Elephas maximus indicus: one gene and its partner. The protein of the gene in region 2 interacts with the protein of the main gene of each other region in a biochemical or structural test. Links are inferred from orthologs where the notes say so. Each region holds a gene or a part of one and is shown on either strand. Other genes may lie near its edges.

Region 1 (16,548 bases), on a different chromosome or scaffold from region 2:
CTGCTGTGGAGTTGGCCCTGGACTCATGGTAACTCCACTCACAATGGGATTGGACCGTCGTGATCCCTAGGGTTTTCATTAGCAGATTTTTTGGAAGTAGATCATCAGGCCTTTCTTCTCAGTCTGTCCTAGTCTGGAGGTTTAGCTGAAACCTGTTCAGCACCATAGCAATGTGTACGCTGGTAGTGACAGATAGGAGGTGGCTGCTAATGAGGTGCATTGGTCAGGAACCGAACCTCAGTCTCCCACATGGAAGGTGAGAATTCTACCACCAAATCACCAGTCTCCCCCATTTTAAGTGTATGGTTCCAGAACTTTTAGTTAATTCATAGAGTTGGGCAAGCATCACCACAATCTAGCTTTGGAACATTTCCTTTACCCCCCAAAAGAAAACATTGCAATACTTCTATCCCGTGATCCCACTGCCATTGAGTCAATTTTGACTCATAGCAACCCTAGAGGACAGAGTAGAACTGCCCCATAGGTTTCCAAGGAGCCCCTGGTAGATTTGAATTGCCAACCTTTTGGTTAGCAGTGTAGCTTTAACCACTACGCCACCAGGGTCAGTTAGTAAATAGCCGCTGCCCTCAAACTCCCTGAAGAACCCTACTTCCATGGCTCCTAGACCTTCCCCATAATCTAGCAAAAGATACCTGACCCACTCTCAGGGAGCCACCGGCCCCTGCCCCAGAAGTGAGCATCCTCTGTTCTGAATGGTTGGTACCTGTATCACACCTGTTGTTAAGTATGTTTAGTACCACCTTTGGGCAAGGCCAAGGCAAATACCCACCTCTTCTGGTTCCCAATCCAATTTTCACACAGCAGCCTGCTTCTCTGGAAGACCAGAAAACAAACAAGCAAACAAAAAGAAAGTGAGTGCTATGAAATTATTTTGTCTACGTAAAAGACAAATTTTGGTAGGGCAAGAGATTGAGCTGGCATCCATCATCAGTTCTTCGGTAAAGATGTTCTTTTCTTGAGGTTCACAAACCTCTATGGATAGATGACTTCAGAAGGCCAGATAACTCCCTAAAATATAAAATTTCATGAGTATGTGCATTTTGCTGGGTAGTGGGTCCACGGCTTTCATTTGATTTTTAAAGGGGCCCACGGCAAAAAAAAAAAAAAAAAATTACAGCCTTTCCAATTAATAATATGCTAAGAACATGGTTAAGTGCTTTGCTGCTAATTCAAAGGTTGGCAGTTCAAACCCGCTAACCACTCCATGGGAGAAAAGACCTGGCCATCTGCTCCCTTAAAGATTACAGCCTAGGAAACCCTATGGGGCAGTTGTACTCTGTCCTATAGGGTTGAAATTGATTCGCCAGTACCTAAAAACAACATGTTTTGTAAGAGGTCTACGCGAGAAATAAGCAAGTAATGTGCTCAAAGGCTGCAGATCTGGGTAAAAGAATTCTTCCTAGAGAGCCAGGGGAACGGGTGAAAGTGAAGACAAAGTTCTTCTCATTCACTACTTTATTGCAAATTAGGTATGTATGTAAATCAACTATTTTTAACATATAGAATAAGTCACACCTACAAACCATTTGTTATTTTCTTTGGCCTTTATTAAGAGGTTCACATGAAATGACTGGTGCTGGTACAAAATTATTTTTAAAAAATACACTTATGCTTTGTACATATGCTTTTCTTAAAGTACAGTATTACTCTAAGTTGTGAATTTTGTGTTTTTGCTACTTTATGAAATCCCATCTATAGGCTCAACTGGATTACTTTAACATCTAAATTTGTCAAACTACATACCCCTCCAAGTAAACAAACAAACAAACAAAAACCAAACCTGTTGTGTCAACTCCAATTTACAGCGACCCTATTAGACAGAGTAGAACTGCCCACAGGCTTTCCACGGAGCACCTGGTGGATTTGAACTGCTGACCTTTTGGTTAGCAGCTGAACTCTTAACCACTACACCACCAGGGTTCCCCCCTTTGAATAGTTCTACATAATTTACATTGAAGCCAAGTTCCTTATTGTATTTACAAAAACAATTTTTTAAAAAACTCAAAATCCTACATTATCCCCATTGCATTTTATCTTAGACTTTTAGCATGGTATTTTAGAAATATTTTTGAATTTTTAAAAATGTTTTATTGTTTTAGGTGAAAGTTTACATAGCAAATTAGTTTCCCATTTAACATTTTTCACAAATCGTTCTGACATTTTGTGTGACATTTCTGTGATAATTTTCACAATGTGTCAGCTTTCTCATTATTTCCATTCTGTTTGTTCTGTTTCCAGTAATCTAGCTTCCCTTCCCCTCTTTGCTTTTGGGTAATTGTTGTCTGGTCTTATATCGGTGATTATTTAAGGGACACATTTCTCCAGGGTAATATTATTTTATAAGCCAATGTATTATTTGGCTCAAATGGGCCTACAGGACTGGTTTCAGTGACAAGCTCAAAGTGTGCCTTAAGGCAATAGCCCTGGGGGTTCCTCAAGTCTCTACCAGTCCAATAGGCCTGGCCATTTTTTACGAATTTGAGTTTTGTTCTATGTTTTTCTCCCATTCTATCTGGGACCATCTATTGTGTCCTTAGTCAGAACGTTTAGTAACGGTAGCCACGCACAATCTAGATCTTCTGGTCTCAGGTTAGATGAGGCCATGGTTTGTGTGGGAAATAATTTTGATTTTTTTTTTTTCTGGTAAAAATCTTTTATTTATTTATTGTTGCTGTTGAGGATATACACAGCAAAAACATACATCAGTTCAAGTTTCTATATGTACAATTCAGTAACATTGATTATATTCTTCAAGTTGCGCAACCATTCTCACCCTCCTTCTCTAAGTTGTTCCTCCCCCATTTACACTCACTGCCCCCTAAGTTTCCTATCTAATCTTTCAAGTTGCTGCTGTCAATTTGATCTCATACAGATAGATCTTAAAATAGCACAATGCTTAAGGCAGACATTTTTACTAGCTAAGCTAAATTATTGTTTGGTTTTAAGAAGAATTCAGGGGATATTTTTGGTTTATGGTTTACAGGTTATCTCAGGGCAACATTTTCAGGGGTTCGTCCACCCTCCATGGCTCCAGAGAGTCTAGAGTTGATGAGAATATGAAATTCTGTTCTGCATTTACCCCCTTTTGGTCAGGATCCTTCTACAGAATGTTTGATCAAAATGTTCAGTAATGGTAACCAGCACCATCCAGTTCTTCTGATCTCACAGCAAAAGAAGCAGTTGTTCATGGAGGCTATTAGCCACATACCCCATTTCTTCCTCCCACTCCTGACTCTTGTCCTTACTCTGTTGCTCCAGGTGAATAGAGACTAATTGTTGTGACTTGGATGGTGGCTTGCAAACTTTTACGACCCTAGGCACTACGCAAGGAACTAGAAGGTAGAGTTGAAGCATTAGGCACATTATTAGGTCAATTAACTGGGATGTCCCATGAAACCATGACCTTAAACCTCCAAACCAAGGAACCAAATCCCAGGAGGTATTTGGTCATACACAAGCAGCCTCAGCAGCTACTCATAATTTTTGTTGTTGTTGTAAATATACAAACTTTGATTATTTTTAATAGGTGAATGGAATTTGAAATCTGGAAAAAAACCTTAAAGATTATGCAGTCTGACTTGCTGATTTTATTGATAAGGAAATAAACCCACAGAGATTAAGAGCCTTGCCCAAGCTTGCTAATGACAAAGCTTGGACAAGAACATAAGCCTTGGATTTCTAGTTTGGTGCCTGTTCCAACAAATATGCTGTGTGCTGTTGAACTGCCTTCATTTCTCTGGTGAGGTCAACCATGAAGAGACTAAGAACCAACTACTCTGTGGAGACACAAGCTCAAGCAAGGACTTGTCAACTTTGCCTTTTCATGCTCCAACAAGCATATCCTCACTGGACTGCTCCTGACTGTGCAGCCTAGTGAATCATAGGAATTCAAGCATTCATAAACTACATTACATCATCAGTACTGCAGCATTTACCTAGTGGTCCCTTTGTAGGTCCTTTAATGTTACCAGACTATTTGGTTTCCCATATTTCCTCCTCTTTGGTGCCACGGAGTCTAGCTGCTAATGTATTCCTCTGTGTCTCATGCTCTGCCTTTACCCAGGAGGGAAGACCGCAGACACGTACACAACCTGTATATGTCCTAATTTTTTTCTTCTAGGGAGGCAGAGGTGAGGGCAGTGTGGCAGATGGGGGATGTCTTAGTTCTAGTGCAGCTATAACAGAAATACCACAAGTGGACAGCTTTAACAAAGAAAATTTTATTCTCTCACAGTTTAGGAGGCTAGAAGTCCACATTCAGGGTGCCAGCTTCAGGGGAAGTCTTTCTTTTCTGTCAGCTCTGAGGGAAGGTCCTTGTTATCAATCTTTCCCTCATCTAGGAACTTCTCAGCACAGGGACCAGATCCAAAGGACATGTTCTGCTCCTGGCTCTGCTTTCCTGGTGGTAGGAGGTCCCTGTCTTTCTGCTCCTGTCTCTCTTTCATATCTCAAAAGAGGCTGACTCAAGATAGAACCTAATCTTGTAGATTAAGTCCTGATTCATTAACAAAACTGCCTCTAATCCTCCCTCATTAACATCGTAATGGTAGGATTTACAACACACAGGAAAATCATATCAATTGACAAAATGGTAGACAATCACACAATACTGGGAATCATGGCCTAGGCAAATTGACAGACATTTTTGGGGGGCAAGATTCAATCTATAACAGGGGAAAATCACCTCCTTGTCACCTGATGGTCATTTCAAATTGCTGTGGAAATAAAAAATAAACACCATTATCAAATGTAACAAAAATAAAAATTCTTTAATATCATCTAATATCTATTCTGTGTTTATATTTTGCCAGTTCCCAAAAATGTCTTTTTACAGTTGGTTTGTTAGAATCGGGATTCAAACAAAATTGACATATTGTGTTTGCTTAATATGTCTTTTAAATATCTTTTACCATAAATGATGCTATTTAGGAGATTGAGAGCGTGGGAAACTTCAACTTCTCTACTGCCGAACTGTTTTCCAAAGTAATTGTACCAATTTCACTCTGAGTTTATAAAAGCTTCACTCCCTCTCCTACTTTTGGTATCATCAGGCATTTAAACTTTTGCCTATCAGACATTTAAACTTTTGTAAGCCCCACTCTGTAAGGAAATGGAATGTGAACATAGTCTTCAAGAAATATATAATATAAAATAATACAGAAATTTCACACTGTAGTGCAGTGAGTTACTATTATATGCCCTTTTTAGCTGTTGTTCTTGTAACTCCCACAAAATGATTAGGTGAGATTATGCAAATAAGGTGCTTGTGGCCCACCAAGGGGATTGGACAGTTTTGAAACCTTTGTGGGGGTGGGACCATGCATATAGGGTGCATGGAACCCTTGTAGGAAATAGCTGGTTTTGCCATCCCACTAGGTTTAAAGGGAGCCAATCCCAGAGGCTGAGAGGGGGACCTCACTACCATCAAGAAAAGGAGCCAGGAGCAGAGTGCATTCTTCTGACCTAGGGTCCCTACACTGAGAACCTCCTAGGGCCAGGAGACAGAGAGAGTTCTAACACTGAAGACTGCACGAGAGAGACCAGTACCACAGGACTGGCAGGCTAGGCTTGCTGATGCACAGAGAAAAGAGAGGTAAGTGCCTTTAGGCAGGTGGTTGCCGGGGGAGTGGGTGCCTGTGGGCACTTGTTGGCAGAGCTAAAGACCTTTGTTATACTTGCCCGTCCAAGTATAACAGGACAAGAAGGCCAAGAACTGAAGGGTGAGAGAGAAGCCTGCCTGTGAGCATGGCTGAGAAGAAGCTGTCCTGATTAATTGTCTTGTTAAGTCGTTCCTTTTACTACCAAGTTGATCCTGGCCCTGAATTGTAAACTGTTATTCCCTGATAAATTCTATAATTGTGAATACGGTTTGTGAGTTCTATGTGGCCACTGCAATGAATTATCAAACCCAGTAGCAAAGTAGAGAGTGGCGTGGGAGGGATGGGATGGCTAGTGTCAGAACTGGTAAAAAGGTTGGAGAGTGGGAGTATGTGGGAATCAGCCTTGGGCTGATGTTGACAGTGATTTTCTGTCTCCCCCTGAAGTTAGTGAGGTCTGACGCTGTACCATTTCTGGACATGTTCCCTGGAGATAATTATATATCCCCATCCCATCTGAAAGTCACTGTTTTAGCTGCTCTATGCACTGGGATCTTTTTATTATACATTAGTGAAAGAGTAAAGACGATATGTAATTATGTGCTAGTTAGTATTTCCTAGGAGTCCCTGGGTGGCATTTACGGTTAAGCACTCGACTACTAAACAAAAGGTTGGTGGTTCAAAACCATCCAGAGGTGCCTCAGAAGAAAGGCCTACCCATCTACTTCCACAAGATTACAGCCATTGACAACCCTGTGGTTCTACTCTGACCCACACTGAGCTGCCACGAGTCAGAACTGATTCAACAGCAACCACTTTAAGAGGGATATAACTGGCACTGACTTTTCCCCTCATATGAATATCCTTCTAACACATCTGAAACTCAAGGTGCCAGATGTTGTTTCTGCTGAGAAGTGTCAGGATTCCTATAACCTCTTTTCTTCCTTGTTAATACTTGTTAGCTCTTATGATGTCATAATGCTTTGTTTGTAGGGTCATCTGATGTTATATATCTTTAGGAAGGAAGAGTTTTTAAACAAAGTGAACCGCATATAGTAAAACCTGATTTCTGGAGCAATTTTATGAAATAATAGGGAAGAAGATCTCTAAAAGGAAATATACTTGGAAACTTTTCCTATCAGCTTTCTTCTTTCATTGGGATATGTGTGATTTAACAACCTGACATGTGATGTGCTTCTGGATGTTTCCTGGTTGCCAGGAGCATCCAAACATTTCTAAGGACACATCATTTTGTACAATAAAGGGAAAACCAGCTCACTTCTGGCAATAAATGGAATTGGGTGCGGAAGTGTGTTTAATATTATACCATACAATAATTGGTGTATTTTTAAAAAATTTTTTATTGTGCTTTAAGTGAAAGTTTACAAATCAAGTCAGTCTCTCTCACAAAAACTTATATACACCTTGCTACATACTCCCATTGCTCTCCCCTTACTGAGACAGCCCGCTCCCTCACTCCACTTTCTCTTCATGACCATTTCGCCAGCTTCTAACCCCCTCTACCCTCTCATCTCCCCTCCAGGCAGGAGATGCCAACATAGTCTCAAGTGTCCACCTGATCCGAGAAGCTCACTCTTCACCAGCATTCCTCTCCAACCCGTTGTCCAGTTTAATCCCTGTCTGAAGAGTTGGCTTTGGGAACGGTTCCTGTCCTGGGCCAACAGAAGGTCTGGGGGCCATGGCCACTGGGGTCCTTCTAGTCTCAGTCAGACCATTAAGTCTGGTCTTTTGACAAGAATTTGATGTCTGCATCCTACTGCTCTCCTGCTCCCTCAGGGGTTCTCTGTTGTGTTCCCTGTCAGGGCAGTCATCGGTGGTAGGTGGGCACCATCTAGTTAATAATTGGTGTATTTTAAAGATCTTTTTCCTTTATGAACACATTTCACATTAGGGAAGTTCCCAGGAAACATAATGATCCATCTTAAGAGTGGGAAGGATGACATTCTACACTGCTTTTATATTTAAATCTTAACTTACTGAAATTTCTAAAAAGAAAGCCAAGTCAATTAAATGACAGGTTTTAAGCTTTCATTCTGGTAAAGTCAAAGTCTTCTACTCAATATATCAGCCAGCTCAGTTTTTTAGAGCAAGAACACGAGGTGCAAGGGCTTCCATTTTCCTCTTTAAAAAACCGTGATATTTTCAGTTCTGGAACAGCTCTCCAAAACGCTGCTTCTGGTAAATGTTGGCAGAATTGGTGCATTGCTTAAGTTAATTCTGTATGCTCAACCTTCCTTACCCAGTATCTCTAGGTTGGATGACCATAAAGCTGCCTACCCACAAAATAGACTGGAGAGAAGGCTGGACTTTATAGAATGTATTAAGTACTTATTATAACGAGATACCGGCACATTAAAAAAAAAAAATCATGCCTAGGGCTAAATCTCTGAGCAAACTTAGATTTCCGTAACAACCTTAACTATTTATTATACACATGAACTGAGGTTATGGGGTAAGGAAGTGGATATCACACACACTAGAAAAACTTCAAAAAAGTCTCTCTTTTTTTAGACAAGTTTCAGTTTTGCAAATCCAAAAAACTCTTAACTGTAAAACACCAAAACGTTGTCTGCTCTCAGTTCTCATCCCATTGTAGAAAGAAACCTGTGTCTCTCAAATTAGGAATACAAGAAGTCTTTCTGGTCGGCGAAGACCAGAAAGCAGCCCCGTGGTAAATTCTATCTGGCCCAAGGGTATTCGAAAGGAAAACCTCGAAACCGTACACCTGCGGCTGGAAAAATAAACCAAACAAAAAGTAACCCAAAGATAAGCACATCACCAGGATTTCGTAATATAAACCGACTACGTTGGCACGGTCGGTACCGGAACCACGCTTCCGGAGCTTCTCAAGCACTCAAGGCAAGGCGTGGGCTCGCCGCGGACGCACTAAAACGAGTTGTAATCACCGGTACCTACAGCGCTATTCACCGCACCCCGCCCCTCCCCCAGCGCGCCAGCCAATCCCCTTGCGCTCTCTCCTTCCCATCGGAGGCCCCTCCCCCGCGCCCTGGATGCTGAGCCCCCGCGGCGTGACGCGAGCACGGCAGCTCCGCCCCCTGCGTCTCTGGCCTCGCCGGCCTAGGGGGGATGGTTCCATCATGGCGTCAATGCAGGTGAGAGGAGTTTGCTGCAGCTGGGAGGGCGAGGGAACCGCCGCGAGGGTGCGATCATTCGGGCGGGAGCGCCGCCCGGGGCTCGGAGGTATTCGGGCGGCGTCGGGAGCAGTCCTAGCGGTCGGTCTTTGGCTAGTTTCAGGGCGTTGGGGAGGGGTGAGAGGCGGCCAGGGCAAGGACGGGTGGGGGGGTCTCGGTCGGTCGAAGCGGACACCAGCCGGCCGGGAAGTTGGGGGATAAAGAGGGGTTAGAGGAGGAAAGGTCGAAGTTTGGCCTTGGCTCCGCCACAGTGCTTTCGGAATCGCCTTCCCGCACACACAAACGGCCAGAGTCGGTCGCCGGCCAGCCCCAGGGATGCCTTTCTCTCCGCGGTCCCCGGCCGGCGGAAACAGCTGCTCTCGCCGTTGTCGCCGGGGCAGCAGCGGCGCTGAAGGGGCTGGGTGTGGAGAAACTGGAAAGACATTCCCTGAGAAGGCGGCTGGCTGCAGAAGGCGCTTCGCAGCCTCTGCTCAGGCCTCCCACGCCTGGCTTCTCTTGACTGCTCGGCACCTCCGCTGTCCTCCCTTTGACTCCTAATGCCCCTTGGGTACCTTCTCCTAGGAGTCACGGCACTCTCACAGACATTACCCGAGCCGCCCACTTTCTCACCCCAGCTCGAAGCTGCCCTTAGTCTATTAACAGCATTTGCCGCCTAATTTGCAATCTGCGGGAACCACTAGCCCCTTATGCCTCCCGGGATAGTTCACCCTCTAAGAAAATTTTTCCTCTGGTGCCCCACCCTTGCGGTCTCGGTAAGGCTGTCGCCCTTTACCCTTATTCTCCAGACCATTAGTAGAACCTTAGTTTATTAGGAGGAGTGCGTAACCTGTGTCCTAGCTACCTGACTTGTCAGTGCGTGGTTTTCTGGCTTTCCAACGCAGTTTAGAGAGGAGTTTGGTTTTTCAGGCAAAGATGGCAACCACAGTTGTGGTTTGTAGAGATTGACTCTGCATTATCTAATCTGTAGCTTGCGTTTAATTCACAGATGAAGACTAGCGTATCAAAACGTAGCAAGAGAAGGTAGAACTTATTAGGAATGTCAACTGAACGCTTTTTAGAGTTTTAAAAAAGCATCCCCTTAAGTGAAGAAAGAGACCGCATTTTTTCTTAGAAGGATTTTTTGTTTTTGTATCTAGAAGAAAAAGCAAGTACCCCCTCATTTTTCCCCCCTCTTCTGTGCGAGTGCAGTGTTTTTCTTACATCTCTTCTGCATCTTCTCTCTCTTGTGCACATCAGTTCTTTGTTCCACACTTTTGTGCTTTTGTCTTACCCCTTTCAATCTGTTTTTCATATGATAGTCTTGTTACCTTTGCTTTTCCCTATGGACTCTTGCAGAACAGAAAAAAATTGTATATAACATTTCTGGTTGAAAAGATGTGACGAAACAGTGGAGGGAGAAAACAAGAACAATTTCAGGAAACATTGTACTTTACACCAGTCTCCCTGAGAGACGTTAGAGAAGTTTCCTCATTTGAGGCCAAAAAAGGAACTGTTAAATTTAACAGTAGATGGGCTACGTGACCAATTTAAGGTTATTAGTGTATTAAGATTAAAACATTTGTTTTAAAACTAAAAATTAAAATCCACAACACTTGCATGATTGTATTTGACAAGTGAGCATAGCGTTACAGGGATGGTAACTGACAGTTAGCTTTTCAGTTATCTGGAAAAGGGATGTTTCAGTTGTTAAGAGAAAAAACCCAAGCTGGTAAAGAACTTAATAATCTTGAATTTTACATGGCTTCTTAAGCAGTAAGAAGCCCTGTTGGTGCAGTGGTTAAGCATTTGGCTACTAACTGAAAGGTCAGTGGTTCAAATCTACCAGCCTCTCCACAGGAGAAAGATGTGGCTGTCTGCTTCCAGAAAGATTACAGCCTTGGAAACCCTATGGGACAGTTCTACCCTATCCTATAGGGTCACTATGAGTCAGAATTGACTCAGAGCAATGGGTTTGATTTGGGGTTTTTTGTTTTGTTTTTGTTTTTTTTGTACTTTAACAATGGACAAAAATACTTGCCAGTGCAATATTGCATTTTTCTATGTCACAAGTACTACCTCAGTCTGTCTTACCACTTTTCTTTTCCTTTGTGTCTTGGTGATTAGAGGAATGGAAAATTCATACATCCTTTTTTAAGTAAAATACAACTAAATCTTTCCCTTTTGTTTGTATTTTTAAAATATACGGATTTTCTGGTAGAATCTTAAAAAATACTTTAATGTGGATAGGTCACACTTTTTGAGACAATACTGTCTGCGTGTGGGGTGAACAAAGTTTTTTTTCCCTGATAGTCTTAATAGCAAAGTTTAACTCTTTCTAAAACAACTGAACTATACATAAAGCAATAACCAAATTATTAAATTTGTTCATTCATGGAACAATTGTTTTTTGAGGACCCAGTATGTATCACCAGCAGTCATCTAGATGCTGAGGATCCAGCAGTGAACAAAAGCAGACAAGGTCTCTGCCCTTGTAGATATAAGTCTAGTTGGGGGAGACAGACATTAAGAAAATATTTAAGTTAATCGTGTATTAAATTAGAAGGTAAAAAGTGCTGTGGAGAAAAATATAGAGTGGATGGAGGTTTGGAAGTAGATATTTTAGATAGGGTAATGAGGAAAAAGTATGCTGCTCTGACCATGTCCTCATCTAAAAAAGCTTTAAGTAGGTTATTTAACCCACACTAGGATGTTACTGCTGCTTAAGAAGTTATTCAAGCTGTAAGGGGAACTGTATTTTAAAAACAAGTATATTATATGAATGTAACGTGTGATTTGATTACTTGAATTGATAAAGACGAAAAAATGAGTCTTCAGGAGCAATGCACTAAAAATTAGGGATAGACTTCGCATTTCGCATTGGAGACAGTTTTAAAGGAGAGGTTGTGACTGCTTTAATGTATTCTACCAGTGCCTTCCAACTTTTCTTCAGGTCATGGCACACATAGAAAATAAGTTTTGATGAATGAGATTGGAGCCTGGAATCCCCCGGCCAGGCTCTATGCTGTCGAGTCGATTGCAGTTCGTAGAGACTGTATTGGACAGAGTAGAATTGCCCCATACTGTATCCAAAGTTTTAAATATTTACGGGAGCAGACCGCCACATCTTTCTCTCATGGAAAGATTGGTAGCTTTGAACCGCTGACCGTTTTGGGTAATGGCAGAACGCTTTAATCACTGTGCCACCAGTGCTTCTAGGATCCAGGGAAATCAATATTCTGGCACAACCTGTTATGTTGGGAAGTTCTGCTCTATATTATATTGTTAGGGTTGTAAGTACAGTTCAAGGTTGTGGTTTTCAAACGTATGTGAGCCTTTTGAGACTTTCCACTATTTTTTTCTTTTCTCTCCCCACTCCTTTATTCCTGTGAACAAAGTCACAAATCACCAAGTAAGATTATGGTTAGATTATGTTTTAAGAAATTATTCTTAAACACTCATGGTGATACTTAAAGTTGGCAGGATTTACACTAAAGAAATAGCTCTATATTTAATTTTAGTAATTCTAGAAATCTTAAAATGTTAAATGGAAAATTGTAGCATATTTTTAGTATTAGCATTTCAGGTACTCTGATTATATGGTACAGCTTTCCTATCCTCAAACTGTAAAAACATTAAAGTAAATTTTTATATGATTCTAAACAGTTCTCAAAATTGTAGCGTTTGGAGTATGTATTTTCAGCTAAACTATAAAATTGTATTTTTTTGTTATGTTTATATAAAAAACCAAACCCGTAGCCATCAAGTCGATTTTGACTCATAGCGACCGTATAGGACAGAGTAGAACTGCCCCATAGAGTTTCCAAGGAGCGCCTGGTGGATTCAAACTGCCAACCATTTGGTTCGCAGCCGTAGCACTTAAGTACTATGCCACCATACGTTTGCATAGATAATATTTAATTTTTTCTTTTTCCTGTGACTCGTTTCATATTGTGGAATACTTAATTTGGCCTCCTGGATGTATTTTCTGTTTCTAGAATTTAGTTGTTTCATTCAGACTTATATTACAAGTTTTTAGGTATACCCAGTATACTTTTCTAATTTAACCATCTAGATTAATTTTAAATATGGACTGTTGTCTTTAGACTCCTCTTCCATTGTTGCTTAGTTGTGATTGAGTTGATCCCTTACATAATGTCTTAAAATTTTAGAAAGTACATAATAGCTAGAAATAGCCAATTGAGTCACTTTTTTATGAATTTTCTACATTTTCTTTCTTTTAACCTAGCTGGATCTTAGGCTATTGACTGCTAATCTGGCTAGATGGAAGGAGATTAGGAACCAGAGAGGGAATATCAGTGTTGGCTCATTTCTTATTTTCAAACGACTTGAAAATAGTTATTTTGAATTATTTGCAATTTGCATTGCTCTTTACTCAAGTAATTGGCTGTAGTGATTAACAGGTAGAATATGTGCTCTTACTAATTCTACTGTTATGGTAGTCATGTTGCCTTGACGATTAGATACCATATGCCTATTTGTTGATATCATTGTGAAGGATTACAGCATAATGAAAAGTTAGAAAATTGACGCCATCTTGGATCTCAAGGCTTACTGACAATGGGGACTTGCACAGTATGGCCAGAATTAAAATATTTGAGAAGGTTGTTTTGATACTGTGGCTAGGAATAGGGCTATCTGGGAACTTTTGGAGCAGGGATCAAGGATAAGGATAATAGCATAGAATAGAATTCAGGATATTCTGTGTAAGTGATAAACATAAGTAGATGGTAGACCACATGTGAATAAAAGCATAAATCTTTGGTAGTCCTCTTAACTTTCAAAACAATCATTGTCCATACTTTTTGCTGTTAATCAAATACTGCTCTATGAGATCCCTTCCATTTTTGTCTTAAGGTGATTGCTTAGGATTTTATTTAAGTTTTCAGGTCTCTTTCTCTCCCCTGGACCATAGACTCCATGAAAGTAGGAAAAATCCTTTCCTTGTGTTACTTAAATGTGTACATAGTGACTACAGAAAACACTTGTCCATCACTTGACACTTGAGAAAACATTCATAAATAGCAAATTATGCATTATTTTATTTTAGAGAAATCTATTAAGTAATTTTATAGTACTAAGCAAATGATCCCCCCACGTTTCTGTCAGACATTGCTGATGTCAGATGGATCCTGGCTGAAAACAGAGAATACCAGAAGGGTGTTTACCTGTGTTTTATTGACTATGCAGAGGCATTCAACTGTCTGGATCATAACAAATTATGGGTAACATTGCGAAGAATGGGAATTCCAGAACACTTAATTGTGCTCCGAAACCATGGTGGCATAGTGGTTAAGTGCTACGGCTGCTAACCAAAGGGCTGTTTGAATCCGCGAGGCGCTCCTTGGAAGCTCTGTGGGGCAGTTCTACTCTGTCCTATAGGGTCACTATGAGTTGGAATCGACTCGACGGCACCGGGTTGGGTTTGTTTTTTTTTTTAGTTGTGCTCATGAGGAACCTTTACATAGATCAAGAGGCGGTTGTTCGGACAGAACAAGGGGATAGTGATTGGTTTAAAAACAGGAAAGTTGCGCATCAGGGTTTTGTTCTTTCACCATACCTATTCAGTCTGTATGCTGAGCAAATAATACGAGAAGCTGGACTATATGAAGAAGAACAGGGCGTCAGGATTGGAGGAAGACTCATTAACAACCTGCGTTATGCAGGTGACACAACGTTGATTGCTGAAAGTGAAGAGGACTTGAAGCATTTACGAATGAAGATCAAAGACCACAACCTTCAGTATGGATTGCACCTCAGCGTAAAGAAAACAAAAGACCTCACAACTGGACCAACGAGCAACATCATGATAAACAGAGAAAAGACTGAAGTTGCCAAGGATTTCATTTTACTTGGATCTACAATCAACAGCCATGGAAGCAGCAGTCAGGAAATCAAAAGACGCATTGCATTGGGTAAATCTGCTGCAAAGGACCTCTTTAAAGTGTTGAAGAGCGAAGATATCACCTTGAAGACTAAGGTGTGCCTGACCCAAGCCGTGGTATTTTCAATTGCATCATATGCATGTGAAAGCTGAACAATGAATAAGGAAGACCGAAGAAGAATTGACAGCTTTGAATTGTGGTGTTGGTGAAGAATATTGAGTATACTGTGGACTCCAAAAGAATGAACAAATCTGTTTTGGAAGAAGTACAACCAGAATGCTCCTTAGAAGCAAGGACGGCAAGGCTACGTCTTACATACTTTGGACATGTTCTCAGGAGGGATCAGTCCCTGGAGAAGGACATCATGCTTGGCAGAGTACAGGGTCAGTGGAAAAGAGGAAGACCCTTAACGAGGTGGATTGACACAGTGGCTGCAACAATGAGCTCAAGCATAACAACGACTGTAAAGATGCCTCAGGACTGGGCAGTGTTTCGTTCTGTTGTGCATAGGGTCGCTATGAGTCAGAACCGACTCGACAGCACCTAACAACAACAGCAAGCAAATGATTACCTATAATGGAACAATTTAAAATTAACATTTCTATTACATGTATGTCCCCCAAAAGTTGACTTATTTTCTCGATTTATGTGTTTGCTGTAACTAATGTTTTCCAAAGTATTTTTATATTCTTTCTTTCTGGATTCTTATTCCGGACTTGTAAATGGAAAGTCAAATGACATATCATTCTAATGGAAAAAGACACAGAGTGACTTACCTAAAATTATATAGTGACTGAGTAGTGAAGCTAAGATTAGAAACTAGGCTCTGAAAACTACGGATGCTGTGGGGTTATAGGTAATGAACACATTAACAATTTTGACATTGTGAACAAATCACTGGGATAGTTATTTAACTTTTCAGTCAAGAATTGAGCATTTACTGAAGTATTCTGTAGCTAAGAAAATCAGAAAAATATTTCTTACGGTTTATAATAGAAAGTTACTTTGGATCATTTTTTTAAAAATAATTTTTATTGTGCTTTAAGCGAAAGTTTACAAATCAAGTCAGTCTCTCACACAAAAACCCATATACACCTTGCTACACACTCCCAATTACTCTCCCCCTAATGAGACAGCCCGCTCTCTCCCTCCACTCTCTTTTCGTGTCTATTTTGCCAGCTTCTAACCCCCTCCACCCTCTCATCTCCCCTCAAGGCAGGAAATGCCAACATAGTCTCAAGTGTCCACCTGATCCAAGAAGCTCACTCCTCACCAACATCCTTCTCCAACCCATTGTCCAGTCCAATCCATGTCTGAAGAGCTGGCTTCAGGATTGGTTCCTGTCCTGGGCCAACAGAAGGTCTGGGGGCCATGACCACTGGCTTCAGGATTGGTTCCTGTCCTGGGCCAACAGAAGGTCTGGGGGCCATGACCACTGGGGTCCTTCTAGTCTCAGTCTGACCATTAATTCTGGTCTTATGAGAATTTGGGGTCTGCATCCCACTGCTCTCCTGCTCCCTCAGGGGTTCTCTATTGTGTTCCCTGTCAGGGCAGTCATCAGTTGTAGCCAGGCACCATCTAGTTCTTCTGGTCTCAGGATGATGTAGTCCCTGGTTCATGTGGCCCTTTCTGTCTCTTGGGCTCGTAATCGCCTTGTGTCCTTGGTATTCTTCATTCTCCTTTAATCCAGGTAGGTTGAGACCAATTGATGCATCTTAGATGGCTGCTTGCTAGCATTTAAGACCCCAGACGCCACTCTTCAAAATGGGATGCAGATGTCTTCTTAATAGATTGTATTATGCCAATTGACTTAGATGTCCTCTGAAACCATGGTCCCCAGACCCCTGCCTCTGCTATGCTGGCCTTGGAAGCATT
Region 2 (15,776 bases):
AGGAACCCTGAGCCTCCCCAAGCTCCACAGATCTCCAGGACACCACTCAGCACAGCCACAGCTGAACTTTGTGCCTCTTCTTCTCCAAGAATGCTAGGCTGATCCTTCTGTCAGGGAAACCTCTGGAGCCTGGGGGCGGGGGCACCCTAATTCTCTGAACAGCCACGTCTCATCAAGTAACTGACTTGGGGGATTTCCAGAACTGGGAGGGATACAGAAGACATCAATCCAATCTACTCACTTTGGCGGGTAGGAAACTGACTACCTGGTTTCTATAATTACTCCTTTGTAAAAAGGTTTCTCTGGGGCAGAATGGAAGCTCAATGGCTTCCCCATCTCCCTGACCCCTAACTTTTAATTTTATTTCAGCCAGGGTGGTCTACGGGCTGGTGATACAAGTCATCTCTACAGGGGCAAGAACAATGCAACGGAGGAAACCACGGAGATTGAAAGGCGGTGAACGGGGCCCTCAGAGCCATCAGTCACCTCCCACCCTTCCCCCTCATAGCCGGTCACTATGAAACACGAAGGAGCCAGGCATGCCAGTGTTAATGGTGCCAGAATGGAGTCTGCAGGACGCTGAGCTGCTTCTACTTAATCTAGACCACATCTTGAATGGGGTGGGGGTAGAAGGGTGTGGGGAGTCAACCTAGAAACACTAAATTGTCCATATCAGCCACTAAAAATAGCCTAAGGTGCAAGCCCTAGGGAAAAAAAAGCCGGAAGGTTACAGGTTCACTTGACCTATATCAACAGCCTACTGCCATTTCTAGAAGGGATTCTCTTATTACTTTAGGTCTTTGCGATTTAGAGGGCTTCTTCTTTAACATGAGGGAGGACTGGTGGCGCCATGGTTAAGTGCTCAGCTGCTAACTGAGAGGTTGGAGGTTCAAACTCACCAGGCGCTCCATGAGTGAAAGATGTCACGATCTGCTTCCTTAAAGATTACAGCCTTGGAAACACTATGTGGCAGTTCTACTCTGTCCTATAGGGTTGGTATTGGTCAGAATTGACTTCTAACAGCAGAGAGCAGCCAGGCAGTGCCTCACAGTGGTTAGTCCCTCATTCGCATACCAGCAGCAGGGGTATGGTGAGCTCAAATAGCACGGCTCCCAGGGCCCCTCACACAGCATTTCCTTCCTCCCTTAGGCAGTGCACTGTGGCTGGCTAGTGAACAGATGCATGCTGTCACCAGGGAGCTAGCCAAAACCAATTCTCTCAGGGAAATTCATCTTGGCAGTGGCACCTGACTACTGGGCCTGTGAGCTGGAGCAGCCCTACTCCAGGCCCTCTTCAACAGTCTACGTAGGCAATGAAATAAAAGAGAAAACCAAAGTCAGTGGTCCTTGCCCCCCAGGACAAACACAGCCACGAAGAACAGCAAGCACCTACTACACTAGGAATGGACAAAAGAAAGGCACAAGAACAGAAGGGAAAACATGAGTCTGTGTGATGGAGTCCAAAGGCTTCACAAGGTAGCTCAAAAAATCATCAGGCTCCAAAAGACCCAAGAATTTCGCAAACGCTCCTGAGTGATTACATCCAGTGGCTACAGAATCTGGTGTACACCCCTTCAGTTGAGTCCCTTATAACAGAGCCAGGCTTCCCTCTCAACTTTCTGGCCTCAGCTGCAGTTAGTCATGTTATAACGTGACACGTGCATTCTTAAAAACCACCGCGCTATGCAAAAACTCACAAGGCTTATGGGGAAAATGGATTACGGGCACAACACTTGAAAACTTTGTCCATGACACACACACAAAAGAGAAGAACCTAATGAAAATGGCAGTACTGTCCTACACGTACTAAGTGGTTAAGAACTACATACACACCACAATAAGGATGGCACTTCACCTGAAAAAGGCCTGAAGTTTGCCTGGGGAAGTGGAAGTGGGCCTTAGAAGGGCTGCAGCTTTTGAGTTATTGTAAAGCATGGAAAAGAAGCAGAAGATTGTAAACATCAGACCTGTGTTGGGCGTGGCTCATACCAGAAGTCTACCAGTGAGCTGGCAGATGTCTAAAGTGTATGTCTGGGTGGCTTGGTTCAGTTTTCTGTGTTCACTTACTGTTTTCCACAACAAAACTGTACACAAGCCAAGGCAAAACCCCCATGATGTTCATATTGTTCCCCAATGTGCCAATCCCATTTGGAACAAATTCATGTTTCCAAAAAAGCAGCAAAGGCAAGCTGCGTGCACTGTGCTCCAGGCATCCTGGCCGCCAGTCACCCACTGTGGGCTCTTTCACACTCTCACAGTTTGGTATTTTGGGCAACTCCTGCTCACCCTTCCAGACCTACCTCAAAGGTTACTTCCATTTTCCTCAGGACCCCAGGATCTGATTTCATCATTTCTTCTACTGCAGTCCCTCTTAACATGATAACCACCAGTTGCCATCAAGTCACTCCAACCCACGAAACCCCATGTGTGTCAGAACTGGGCTCCAAAGGGTTTTCAACAGCTGATTTTTACAAAAAATCAATTGCCAGGCTTTTCTTCCAGGTGCCTCTGGATGGACTCCAACCTCAACCTTTGGCTATTGTCTGAGTATTAGCCATCTGCATCGTCCAGGGACTCAATGATAAACATAATTCTAAAACTGAATACTTACTACGGTGTACACACCATAAACTGCTGGAGGAATGAACAAATCCATCCTGGAAGAAGTACAGCCAGAATGTTCCTTAGAAATGAGGCTGCCAAGACTATGTCTCACTTACTTTGGACATGTTATCAGGAAGGCCCAGTCCTTGGAGAAGAATATCAGAGACTGGAGAAGAACATGTTATCAGGACGGACCAGTCCCAGAAAAAGGACACGTTATCGAGAGGGACCAGTCTCTGGAGAAAAATTGGTAAAGTCAAGGGTCAAGAGAGGAAGACCCTCAATGAGATGGACTGACACAGTGTCTGCAATAATGGCCTCAAAAACACCCACTATTATAAGGATGGTACAGGACTGGGTAACACTTCATTCTGTTGTACATAAGACTGCTATGGGCCAAAACTGACTTGATGGCACCTAACAACAACATGTTTTTAAAAAAGTGTCCCCTCACACTATTTAGCACAAACATGCATGTTGAATAAACACAAATGTTTTTCTACTGAAATTAAATTAACTCATTAGATGACTGCTTCATTTTCTTGGAAGATACGGCAGTGTTTTTGAGAGAAAGGAAAAATGGAGCCTTAACACTGCAAGTCAAAAGATAGCCAAAGGGAGATTTCAGAGAGAACATTTTTACCCGAGGCGTTTTCACCTAGGAGGGAGTAGGAGGCCAGAACTAACTAACATGCAGACGGTGCTTAGAAAGGAAGCACCTTTCAGTAGGCCAGAGCGAGCAGCAGAGACTGGCAACAGTTAGGCTAGGTAAAAGGTAAGGTGCAGCCGCAGAGCACCTTCCTTGGTGAGGGCTGGAGGGTGCTCACTCAGGAACATAGCTGGATTCTTCAAGACTACAAAACAGTCACAAAATGGGAAGTTACCTGAGCGTATTTATGACCAGAACTCCCCATGGGTAAACGTTACTTAAAAAAGAAACATAAAATACGGATAATATTCCCTGCTTTTAAGTGTTTTTTTTTTTTTTCCTATTTGGAGCTGCTAGAGAAACTGGCCGTTTGCTTTCCCACCACAGAAAAAGGCGGATGGCACGACAAGGCCCGGGAGAGGCGTGGTCACTGGAGCCAGACAGGGGCCGAGATTCCAACGGGCAAACTGTGTGACCGTGGGCAAGTGACCCCGACCTTCCTGTGCCTCAGGACATGCAAAACGGAATAACCACGCCTACGTGGCAGGGTGACTCGTTAACAGATAAGCAGGCACTCGCTAAACAGTAGGTATCACTACATCACAAACCAAGAGAAACCCACAGGGACACAGGATTTATATTCTTAACAGCAGAAAAATTGTTATTGCAATTCCAAGCTAAAGAGATAACATTTAGCAGACAGGCTTCAATTTTGAATTTGCATATCAAATAAATCTATACAGCCAGCCAATTTACTTAGCTACCTGGAGGTAGAAGTTAACATAGCCTAACGGGTACACCAAAAAACATGTGGCTTAAAAAGAAGACTCCAGGAAAGCTTTATGGTCACACTTCCATTTGCAAAGCAACCTAATGATAGCAGCCATTTTGAAAAGTTCCCAAGTCCTTCCTACCCTCCATCCTGCCAGTTCTGACTTACGTACTTCCAAAGGCCATTCGAGATCCCTCTGCTCAAACCTCATGTTTTCTCAAACCTGAACCCTGACCTCAGGGTTAGGCAATATCTGTGCTCCAGGCCTTCCTCTTCAGACAGGAAACCTCAAAATGCCTTCCTCTACAATTCCGAGTACAGCTGAGAAACACAATACTTAGACGTGAATTATATCTCAACGGTAAAAACAGTCAACCCTGTAGTATTCTACAAGAGCCACCCTACCCTTCAGAGATTACTGATTTAAGGACAGTTAACTGTAGGTAAACCATTTCAATAAAGACGGACACTGCCAACACACGTAATGAATCTACAAATTCACTTTTATACTGCGTATAAGCCAATTACTTACTGAGCAGCACCCTCAACTCTTTTCCAGAAACCAATGGGGGTATGAACTACTGGACGTGGGCTCTGCTCACAGCCTTTAAGAGCCAGTGATGAACTGGAATGACTGGCCAGCTGACAAGCACAGGCACCAAGTTCCACAGATTCAAACACACCCATTTCACTCCATTCCCACAGTCACTATCCTGGCGCTAACTATCCCTAGGCCACTAGTCCTACCCACCTTTCTAATCCATCCTTCTCACAGCATAGTGCTTTTTCTAAAATGTGATTCTAACTGTGTCACTTCCTTGTGCTTAAAACTTAGTTCAGTGGTTTTCCACTGGCCTTACAATAAATTCCAAACTCCTCAAAGTGGAGACACACCAAACACCGCTGGTCATCTGGTCCCTGTTTATTTTTCCAGTCCTATCTCTTGCTGCATGTCTCTCAGAACCATTTCCAAGAACAGACCTCAGAAGACCTCAAAAATGTGCTAACTTAGGATACTAAAGCAGGTAGATACGGACAAATATATACATACAGAAAAACATGAGAGCAAATGCACACGCGCACACAGATGTATCTGTAGACACATACACGTACATTTACGCACGTTTGTGGTTGACGCATATACGTATCTGCATATATAACAAACCACACAGGGGCAGTTTTCAGAGGCTTTCTAGACATATCCAAACAACTTGCAGGATTGGTTTACTGAGTTAAAAGACTTGGGACCACAGTCTCAGAACACAATCAACTGACATAACGTAATTCACAAAGATCATGATCCACATCCTAGTTTGGTGAGTAGCATCTGAGATCTTAAAAGCTTAACATCTAAAATATAACTATTGGTCTCTACCTATATAGAGCAAAAGAAAATGAAGAAAATCAAAGTCTCAAAGATGAAACTACTCCACTGGACTAAAAGCCCATGCAAACCAGCACCTCTTCTAACGTGAGACCAGAACTAGAACTAGATGGTGCCTGACTACCAATACCGACTGTTCTGACCAGGAACACAACAGAAGGTCGTGGATTGAATGGGATAAAAACGTAGAAAGCACAAATTCCTGAAAAAAAAAAAAAAAGGCCAGACCTACTGGACTGATAGAGACCAGAGAAATCCCCCCAGACTACTGCTCTAAGATACCGTTAGAACTTGTCACTGAAGCTATTTCTGCAATTCACCTTTCAGACAAATAATAGATCAGCTTGTAAAATAAACAATATCACTCATGAGGACTGTACTCCCTTAAACAACTACGTGAGACCGAACGGTCAACATCTACCCAAAATCAAAGATGAGAAGGCAAGAAGGGGGAGTGAAGCTGGATCAGTGGAAACAGAACAAACTGAACACCAGTAATGAGAATGCTGACAGTAAAAACTGTAACCATTAAAAAACAAAAAATAATCAAACCCGTTGCCATCAAGTCGATTCGACGAAGGGGTAATTCATTGCGTAAACTTTCACCTAGAACACGTTAGTTAAAAAAAAAAATTCATAGGGGAAAATAATTAGAGAAAAAAATACATCTACAAAGGTCCCTTAGAGAGCTGACGATAATAACAAATGAAAAAGGTCTAGAAAACATTATATTAAAGATTTTTGCATCAGAGTTGGACGCTCAAATTCAGGCAATACGAAAGCCAGCAATATATTTCCATTTGAACGTTCCCATTTTTACCTCAAACTCAGATAAAAGTGAGCCAAACAAGTCTCCCCTCCTCTTCCAAACCAAACCACGAGAAGAAATGATTCTCCCTTCGATACCCTTTGATCGCTGGCGGCCCCAGCACTCCTGGTCGTTCACCTCAGAAGCTTAGTTCTGCAGTCAGGAACCTGGCTGTGCACCCTTGGGCGGACCGCCTGACCTTTGTGGGCCTCAGTCTCCCGGATCGCCCCGGCAGCCTAGGCGCAAGGCAAGCCTGCAGAGCCGAGACCGCTGGACTAGATCCCACAACTGGGGGCAGAAGCAGGAGGTGTGATCGCCAACGTCGAGGGGCAGCTGGAGGGTGAGACAAAACCCGATATCCGCAAAAACGGCTCCGACTCTTCCTTTCCTCTTCAAAGGACCCACAGGCGGAGGAGGAGAGCTGTCTACCGAGCACGGTGTCTGGGGTCAGTCTGCCGACACCTGTGTGCAGGGGCGCAGAGCGCTGCAGGGGCGGGGGGCAGGCAGGCCTGGCCGCAGCCACCAGCGGGGTCGGCAGGCGCTCCCGGTGCCGAGGGCCCACTGGGTGCCGGGGCTCGAGCGGGGCGCTCCCAGGGCCAGGCCCCCAGCGCTCCCCGAGCGGCCGCCCACACGTCTTCCGCCCCGTTCATGCCCAGACAAGGCTTTCCCACGGGGCCCACGAGCCCAGACCCGCGGTGGCGCGAGCGCACAAAGGAGGCGCCGTCGGTGGGGAACAAAAACCCCGCGCGAGGCCTCCCCAAGCGGCCGCACAGCCCCGAGCCCTGGCCTGTCCTGCCCACACTCCCCGAGTGACCTTGGACGCGTCCGGAGCCCTCAGTTTCCCCCCCAAGTTAGAGACTAAGCCCCGCGGCGCCGCCCGCCGGGGGCGCCCAGACGCAGACCCAGGCCTCCCCACTTCCGCTGACGCGCCGGGCTCGGTCCGTCCGTGCGGCCGGCAGAGCGGGCGTCCACGTGGGCCCGAGATCGCGGGGAAAGGCCCGGCGTCGGGGCCCTGAGCCGGTCAGCGCCGCGCCGAGGCTACTCTGAGCCGCGGGCGCTGAGGCCTCATCAAGCCGCGAGGCGGCGAGCCCCGAATCCTCCCGGACGCTGACTTGCCGCTCCCTCCCCACGCCGCAGGGCCTTACCTGGAGCGGGTTTAGTCCGGCCCTCCGCCGGCAGCGCGACCAGACGGAGAAACCCTTCCACAGCGTCCGCGGAGCACTCCTCCAGCCAGACGCCGCCGCCTACCAGCGGTCCACTTCCGCTCTAGAGGCCGTGGCACCGCCCCCCTCGCGTCCCTATTGGCAGTCACCGCCCCTAGCCCTCGGCCCGTCGGGTCAGTGGGGATATTTTCAATGCTATTGGATAAAAGAGCCATCTATTACCACTTTGAAACGCGCCTCCTTCCGGCCCCGCCCACGCTCGCGTGCTCCAGCTCCCGCCTTCCGGGCAGAGCCGCCCTCTCGACCCCGGCCCGCCGCAAGGCCTCTCGGGAGTTGTGGTCTGCGGCCAGGCGGAGCGCTGAAACCGCGGCTCCCGGCGGTGCCGACCCGACTCGAGGTCTCCGGAGCCTGGAGGGCTCCGAGTGCCCGCCTGGGTGACAGCCCTAGACACCAGCCCCGTGCTCCTGGCCGGACGCGGCTGGACGTTAGCCCAGGCCCGGCCGTTCCGCCGCCGGAATCCCGGCTCCGCCCCCGCCCCTCTCTGGGCCCCAGCTTCCTCGCCTGGGAACCGGGCCCCCAGGCTGGCGCGGCTCGGAGCCTGACCTTCCACCAGAAGCGGGGCCTGGACCTGCAGCCCGCTGCAGGGGTCTTGGAAGGGGTCCCGGGAGAAGGTGACTCTGGAGCTGAGAGCTGATGGGCTGGAAGGAGAGGGTTCCAGAAGAGGGAGCCCTGTGTCCCTGAAGCTGGAGTGAGGGAGGGAAGGAGGAGAGGTTGACTGGCAAATGCAGGGACGGAAGGCTTCGCAGCGCCCGACGCCCAGAGATGGGGAGCAGCTGGGGGGGGGAGGCAGAGTCAGGTCTGACAGGGCCAGGGGCCAGGTTAACAGTGGACTATCGCTAGGCCCGCGGGTGTAGGTGCTCTGGGTAGAAACATGACAAAGTGCAGTAAAACAAAAAGAAAGGTTTTATCCGGCATATATTCAAAGACGCAAAAGTAGGAATCGGACAAGGATGCTGCCAGAGGTAATGTCTGCCTGAGTCCAAAGAAATATTACAGAATAAGCAAGAATGGGAAAATGGACAAGCATGCTGCTAGAGCCGTATCTGCCCGAGTCCAACGATATAGTACAGAATAGGAAAGAATGGCTGCTAGAGCCAAGTCTGTCAGAGTCCAAGGAATGTTTCAGAACCATCAGTATACATTAACGTTACAAATGGGCAAAACTGTTGAAAGTTTCACCTTTTCACAGGCTGGCTAGAAAATGTGATCATATGTTTTGAATAGTCTTTCTTAATAATCATTGGTACAGGTTTCAGTAACAACAGTCTGGAGGGTCTTTACTATTCTGACAAATCTTACTATTCACTAAATGCTAATAGAACAAGATAAGAGTGGAAACTATGTGGGTCTTTTATGCTCCATTTATGATTTGTTTATGTGAAAATTTCCCTGAAAGGTGTTTTCCAAGATTGTCCTAGCTATTGTTTTTATACCTCAGGGTCCTTGTGACTCCAGCTCCAGCTGGGTCACATTCTAGGATGGAATAATGGCTCTAATATTATCTCCTAAATCATGGGGAAAGGAGGACCTGAACCTGTGCAGGAACACCTCTGCCTGAGCTGTCCCCTGGGAGAGGGGCCATGGCCGAGGCCAGCCTGGTGGCAGAAGCCTGGAGCTCAGTGGCCTCTGGGATATCTTGGGCAACTCTAGGGTTCAAAAGGTCGCAAACTGAACCCCTCCTGCCTGAATTGGAATCCCAGCTCCATCCTTTAAGCAAGTCTCAACAATGCCCTCACCTGTTATAGGGGGACAATATCCACCTCAGAGGGGTAATGTGGGGCAGATTCAATGCAGCATTGCACACGTGCATGCTAGCCCCCTGGCTGGTAAGGGCTGCAGACCAGAATTGGACTAGTAAATCGGGTGGTGGGCTTGAGTCTAGGCACCAGGTTTGGACTTGAACGTGGCATGGCAACCAGAAAAGAGAGCCCAGCTTGTCCTCTTGTCCTGAGAATACTCAGGCCATGGCTATCATCTCTGGTCCCTAGGCGCCCTCTGGCAGTGAGAAGGTCACCCCAAATGCCCTGGGATGGACTCCTTCCTTGGGGGGAAGGTCTTTAATCCTGGAAGGTTGAGCTATGCGTGGCAACGACAAAGCAGATCTGGAACCGCTTACCCATTGCCGACAAGTTGATTCTGACTCAGTGATCCTATAGGACAGAGTAGAACTGCCCCATAGGGCTCCCTAGGCTGTAATCTTTATGGAAACAGACTGCCACATCATTCTCCCTCGGAGAGGCTGCTGGGTTTGAACCGCCAACCTTTTGGTTAGCCACCAGGGCCCCTTATGAAAAACAGAGCATTAGTATTTTTGAGTTACCCGTCAACAATCTGTGTGTTGATACTTTATGAGGTAGTAAGGGAACTTGGCATGTTGGAATGTCTGACATAAATGTGATCCAATGTAGATTATGTGGTTGAGTATCTGATAGTGATTTTAGGTTGAAAAAATAAAAGCTTTTTCCAATGTTTGTGATCGTAATTGGAATGTTTAAGAGAACTTGTAAATTTAAGAGAGATATATACATATAATACATCTATTAAAATTATTTAAACACTTGGGAAGTCAAACAACTGGAATGTTAAAATCAGATTTTACATTTATAAATGCAGTTTAAAATGCTTAAGGGAATTTCAGTTTATAAATGGGCCCGTCAGTGATTAATCAAAATGATAGTTAAAAACAATCAGACTTATAAATAGAATAAGATTCGTAATTTGAATTTCAAAGCTTAAGAAAAAGCTAGGATTTTCTCTTTATAATTTTAATATATTGAAAATGTGATGTTGAAAAACAGTCATTACAAATGTTACTCTCATGCCCAGAAGCTGCCTCCGTGGCCTCCCAAACCTCCCTTGACACTGAACCTACAGTGTGAGTATCCCTGGCTCCCTCCTCCTGCTAAATGTCCCCAGCTTAGAGGAAAGACTAGCCCCTTGGGATGCCCACAGTCCCTCTCATAGAAGCTGGTTCGAAGCAGATACTTGGGCTTCACCCTAGAGCTTGAATCTCTGTGGACGGAGCGTGAGAGTCTGCTTTTTTAACTCCAAGATAAGAACCCCTGCCTATCTGAGTTCAGACATTGTCAGCAGGGGTCTTCTGGCTAACTTGCACTTACCCAGAAAATTCACTTAAGCAGAATGTCAATTCTCTAGGCAGTCCAGCAAATAAAGGTTCAGAGAGAGCTTTCTCAGCACCAGCTAGACCTTATGCCCCCCTGGCTGATCCCCTTTCTAAGGGCTCATACAGGAAGTGGGGAGGCAGGCGTCTAGACTGTGGACCCCTTGAGGGTATATCAGTTAGCTATTGCTTTCGAACAAAATCACCCCAAAGCTCAGTGCTTCAAATAATAGATATTTATTGTTGCTCATGAGTCTACAAGTCAGCTGGATGGTTTTGGTTCCTGGCTGGGCTCACATGTTGGAGGTCAGCTGGTTGTAGGGTGGTCTAGGAAGGGCTCCCCTGGGACAACTCCTCCACATGGTCCCTCTCCTCAGCAAACCACTCTGGGCCTGCTCACATGGTAGCAGGGTGGGTTCCCAGAGAGCAAGTGGAAGTTCCAAGGCCACTTGGGGCCCAAGCTGAGAAATGGCACACAGCCACTTCTGCTGTACCCTGTTGGCCAAAGCAAGTCAGATTCAAGGGCTGGGAGAATCAGACTTCACGTGTTGGTGGGAGGAGGTGTCAAGTCATATGGCAAAGGCATGGGTACAAGGAGACATTTTTGACGTTTACCACATAAGGGCTGCCTTCAGGCCACATCCTCTAGAGAATGGCCCAAGGCCTGCTCTAACTCAGGTTTGTAGGAGCAGAGTACCTGGAAGAGTCCCCAGGTGCTGGCAAGCCAGCTCTGAGCAGCTGTCCAGGTTCAGGAGTGTGGTACGTAGTCAGGGACCTTGTTACCTGCCAGCCAGCGTCATTGCCAATATTGTTGGCGGCTGCCATCGAGTCAGTCCCAACTCACGGCTAGCCCACGCACAACAAAATGAAACGCTGCTCGGTAGCTGCCATCGAGTCAGTCCCAACTCACGGCTAGCCCACGCACAACAAAATGAAACGCTGCTCGGTCCTGCACTTTCTCCCTGACTGGTTGTGGACCACAGGGCTTTCACTGGCTGATTTTCAGAAATAGATCTTCAGGCCTTTCTTCATAGTCTGTCTTAGTCTTGAAGCTCCATTGAAACCTGTTCAACATCACAGCAACACACAAGCCTCTGCTGACAGACAAGTGCTGGCTCTGGATGAGGCACATTGGCCAGCCGGGAATCACACCAGGCCTCCACATGGAAGGTGAGAATTCTACACTGAACCACCACCCCCTTCATTATTATTGCCAACAGCACCCCGATTTTGCTTGGCCACCACCTACCCCCTCTGCTCCAGAGTCCAGCTTGATAGATGAAGGGTAATTCCCCCCACTTGCCAGGGTATTTGCTCAGACACCCACGCAGACTTTTCTTCCTCTGCAGGAACTGCTAGTTCCATGAACTACTGAATTGAAAGCCAGAGAGAGGTGTGTCACTTGCGACTGAAGCCCATTTGAACAGGCCTGAGTTCACTCAGAGCCCTGAGGGAGTCTCTCTGGATGGTAATCTTCAATGTATTTCCTCAATATTGAATGAAATTGATTTGAATTTTATTGCACAACACAGGATGTAAGAGATGTCATGTTTATTTATTTCAGTGAAATTTCGTCTGCTCCCAGCCCCGATTCAGCAGAAAGGTGGGAAATTCCTCTCCTTACTAGCCTGGGTTGTGGGGAAATCCTGGCGTTCTGACACAGCTCAGAATATTAATTAGGAGATGCCTCTGGTCTTTCGTCTCCTCTTGTCACTGCTGAAACGCCCACCTTCCTGGTCTGAATGTGCCCTAGGGGCCACCCTTTGGGTACACCACAGCTACCCCCTCTGACGTGCCATCACCTAAAGGCTTATGGAGGATATGGGGTGGGGGAGTCTCTCCGGGATGTCTATCCTCTCTGGGAGTTTCCAGCCCTTCCTTCCTTTCTTCCCCTTCTCCCCCGCCCCCTCCCCACCACGGGCCCATCCTGCTTTCTCCTTCCAGGGGTCCCACCACACACTGTGCTTCATTCTTGAGGCAGCATTTCCTCCTTGTGAATGCACTTCAAAGGCTTGTCCTCAAGGCCACGCCTAGGTGCTGGGGCTGGGGGTCCGGGAGAGTGAATCTGTCCTGGTCCCAGTCCTGGGGAGCTTGTGATCCAGCACCCTTAACCTTGTTGGATGCTGGCCCCTTGCTGATGCTGGGACAGCTGGGGGTGGGGTGCTCAAGTCGCCAAAGCTTAACTTTGTGTCCTGATTCTGGACTGGTCACCTTACCTCTCTGAGAACCGTGGCCTCAGCAGGATGGGGGACAGTTGCTAATCCCCAGGGTCACTGTGAGGGCTACAGGAGACGAGGCATGTGAAGGCTGGCCACTTCCAGTCTTGGGGGGGGTCCCCAGGTAAAGCCACCTGGCACTGGACAGGGATGGCAATTCCAAGCCGGTGCTGGAGATTCCAGGTTTGTGTATGCTGAGGGGGCTGTTAGGAGGTGGGGGCCGTGGTGGGGGCTGCCGGGGGCGGGGGCGGTGGAATGGGGCAACTTTGGGCTGGGACCCAGGGAAGGGCCAGGATCTGGGCAAGGATGGCAGACTTAACATATAAAAGTATAGGACGCCCAGTTAAATTCCAGATAAAAACCCGAAACTAATCTAGCTTGATATGTACCAAGCAACAGTGGCACGGCCTGCGCAGTACTCGACCTGCAACCCTTCACTGGGCACGTGCAGGCCCGGGCGGGGCGGGGTCACAGGCGGGGTGTGGCGGCGGGGGTGCGGGGGGACGCAGGGGCGTGTCGGCGTGACGGCGGGGCGAGGGGGCGTGGCGACGGGAGGGCGGGGCAACTGGGGGCGTGGCAGCGGGCCGGCAGGAAAATTGGCGGGGAGGGACCGGGAGCGCAGGGGGCGTGGCGGCGGGAGGGCGGGGCGCGCAGGGGGCGTGGCGGCGAGCGGGCAGGAAGATTGGCGGAGCGCAGGGGGGCGTGGCGCATGGTGGGCGTGGCAACTAGGGGGCGTGGCAGCGAGCGGGCGGGAAGATTGGCGGCGGGGTCACCGTGAGCGCAGGGGGCGTGGCGGAGGGAGGGCGGGGCGCGCAGGGGCGTGGCGGCGGGCGGACAAGGAGCGCAGAGGGAGCGCGCTGCGGCGGAGGGAAAGGAGGCACGCTAAGGGCCGCACACTTTATTCTGGGGAAGAGCAGGAGGCCGGTAGGGCGCCGGGGTCAGGCCGCCTCCAGGCGGCGCGCGGGGCCCTCCCGCTGCACGGCCCGCATCCTTCGCTCGCGGCTCCGCTCTAGCTCCAGCCAGTGCTGCGCCTCCAGCTGCGCCTGCGGAGGGTGGGCATCAGCGTGGGTCCCCAAGAACACGGTGCCCCCACCGGACACCGCTCCCCCCACCGCATACCGCGCCTCCCAGGGACACTGCGCCCTGTTGGACACCGCGTCCCCACCGGACACCGAATCCCCCCACGGACACCACGCCACGACCAGACATCGCGTCTCCACCACACATCACGGCCCGAACCCCCACGGACACAGCCGGGTCCCCCGAACGCTCACCACGTCCCCCATGCATACAGCCTGGACCCCCCCGGAGATCCCGCACCCACCGCCGCACCCCGCGCCCTGCTGGCATACCAACGAGTCTGCTCCCACGCCACCCTCCTCCCCTACGCACCCCTCCCGGGTCCCCACCGCGCTCCCCTCCCCAGTACACCGCCGGGCCCACCTACCGCTGCAGGAGCGGATTAACCAGTGAGCACCGGCTTACAGTAAGCATGATACCCACGGGCCGACTTGTGCTTAGTTACTAATTTCCGCACATAAACCCGGTGGAATTGTGCACTACGGATGAGTAAACACAAGTAAACACGTGCTACCTTGCACATTGGGTAATCCGTCCCGAGTCCCCACACTTTCCGCCCTCTCTCGCGTACCCCGCTGCCCACCTGGTACTCTGCACTCCTGCACCGGACACCGCTCCCCCCGCCGCACCCGGCTGGCCTCCCCACCCTGGCACCCCGCCTCCAGCACCCTGCCCGGCCCCCGAAATCTCCCGTGGGCCCCTTGCTCGCCGTTCCGCCCGCCCGCCGCGCCGCCCAGGCTCACCCGGGGCTTGGGGCGCGCGGCCCGCGGCGCCGACACGCGCAGCGCAGCCTCCTGTCTCTGGCGCTCGGCCGCCTTCTCTGCAATCTGGCGCCGCAGCTCCAGCACGCGCTCGTCCTGGGAGCCCTGGGCAGCTGCCGGGCCTTTCTTCTCCTCCCACCTGAGCCGGGCGACAGGGCGGACGGCCGAGGCCAGAGCCGGGTGGGACACGGGCCGCGGCGGCCGCCCAGGGGAAGCCCCTACTTGCGCTGCGACTAAGCCGGAAGGGTTTTGGCACAGAGGGCGAGGCCCCTAGGACAGCTGAGTGTTCCCGCCCAGGAGCCGGCGCCAGCCGTGCTGATCTTTGGTAGGGGCTGAGGTGGGGCCACGCCAGCGCCTCCACCTTTTTGTTCTTTTTACTAAGAATTTAAAAATAAGTATTACACGTGTATACATGTGTGTGATGTAAAAAACAAAGAAAACCTGTCATCTCACACACCCTTTGCCATTAGAGATAACCTCTGCTAATATTTGTGTGGCCCAGTGGTTACACTGCTCGGCGACTGGAAACTAACAGCCGCTCCGTGGGAGAAAGATCTGGCAGAGATTCACACCCTTGAAAACCGTATGGGGTCGCTATGACTTGGAATGGGCTTGAAGCAGTGGGTTTGGGTTTTTTGGTAATATTTTGGTATCTTTCCAAATCTTTTCCATACGTGGACCAGCTTTTTTTCTGAAACTCACCTGACATTCTCTGTTGACTCAAGGGCACATCACAGCCTAAGGCCTTTTCAAGTGCTGTTCCCTGTGCCTGCTTGCTCTTCAGCACCACCCCAGGACTGGGCAGCCTCCTGCCCCTAAACTGCTCCTTGTGAGTTAATGCCAGTGGGATCTGGCTGCAGGCAGGGACTTCAAGAGCTCTGTTAGCTTGAGTTGGACTCTCAGAGGCTCCTCAACACTGACCAGACTGCATTTGGGGTCTGCCAGGCGGAAAGCCAGCATCAAAGAAGTGGTGAAGTCTCCCTGGGGGGCTGCCGCCTTGGGGACCTGCTGGGTGGCCAGCCAGCCCTCCCCAGGCAGCCCCGACCTGCGCTTGTCATGTGCCTCCTCTGAACTGGAAACAGAGCAGCAGTCACTCAGGATGAATAAATTAATAAATAAAATCCAAACTTGTTGCTATGGAGTCATTTCCAATTCATGG

Evidence for each region.
Region 1: the proteins of RNF4 (region 2) and UBE2W form a complex in vitro, tested with the Homo sapiens proteins (2 studies listed by BioGRID). The link is inferred for Elephas maximus indicus from reciprocal best matches to the Homo sapiens genes RNF4 and UBE2W.

What each region holds. Positions count from the first base shown.
Region 1 is NC_064833.1:68,160,411-68,176,958, forward strand, and holds the start of UBE2W (ubiquitin-conjugating enzyme E2 W), read left to right. Parts: upstream 1-8,629; 5' UTR 8,630-8,650; coding exon 8,651-8,752; intron 8,753-16,548. UniProt on the Homo sapiens protein: Accepts ubiquitin from the E1 complex and catalyzes its covalent attachment to other proteins.
Region 2 is NC_064823.1:161,332,961-161,348,736, reverse strand, and holds the start of RNF4 (E3 ubiquitin-protein ligase RNF4), read right to left. Parts: upstream 7,472-15,776; 5' UTR 7,362-7,471; intron 1-7,361. Other genes in the region: CFAP99 (cilia- and flagella-associated protein 99), read right to left, coding at 13,715-13,819, 14,600-14,756. UniProt on the Homo sapiens protein: E3 ubiquitin-protein ligase which binds polysumoylated chains covalently attached to proteins and mediates 'Lys-6'-, 'Lys-11'-, 'Lys-48'- and 'Lys-63'-linked polyubiquitination of those substrates and their subsequent targeting to the proteasome for degradation.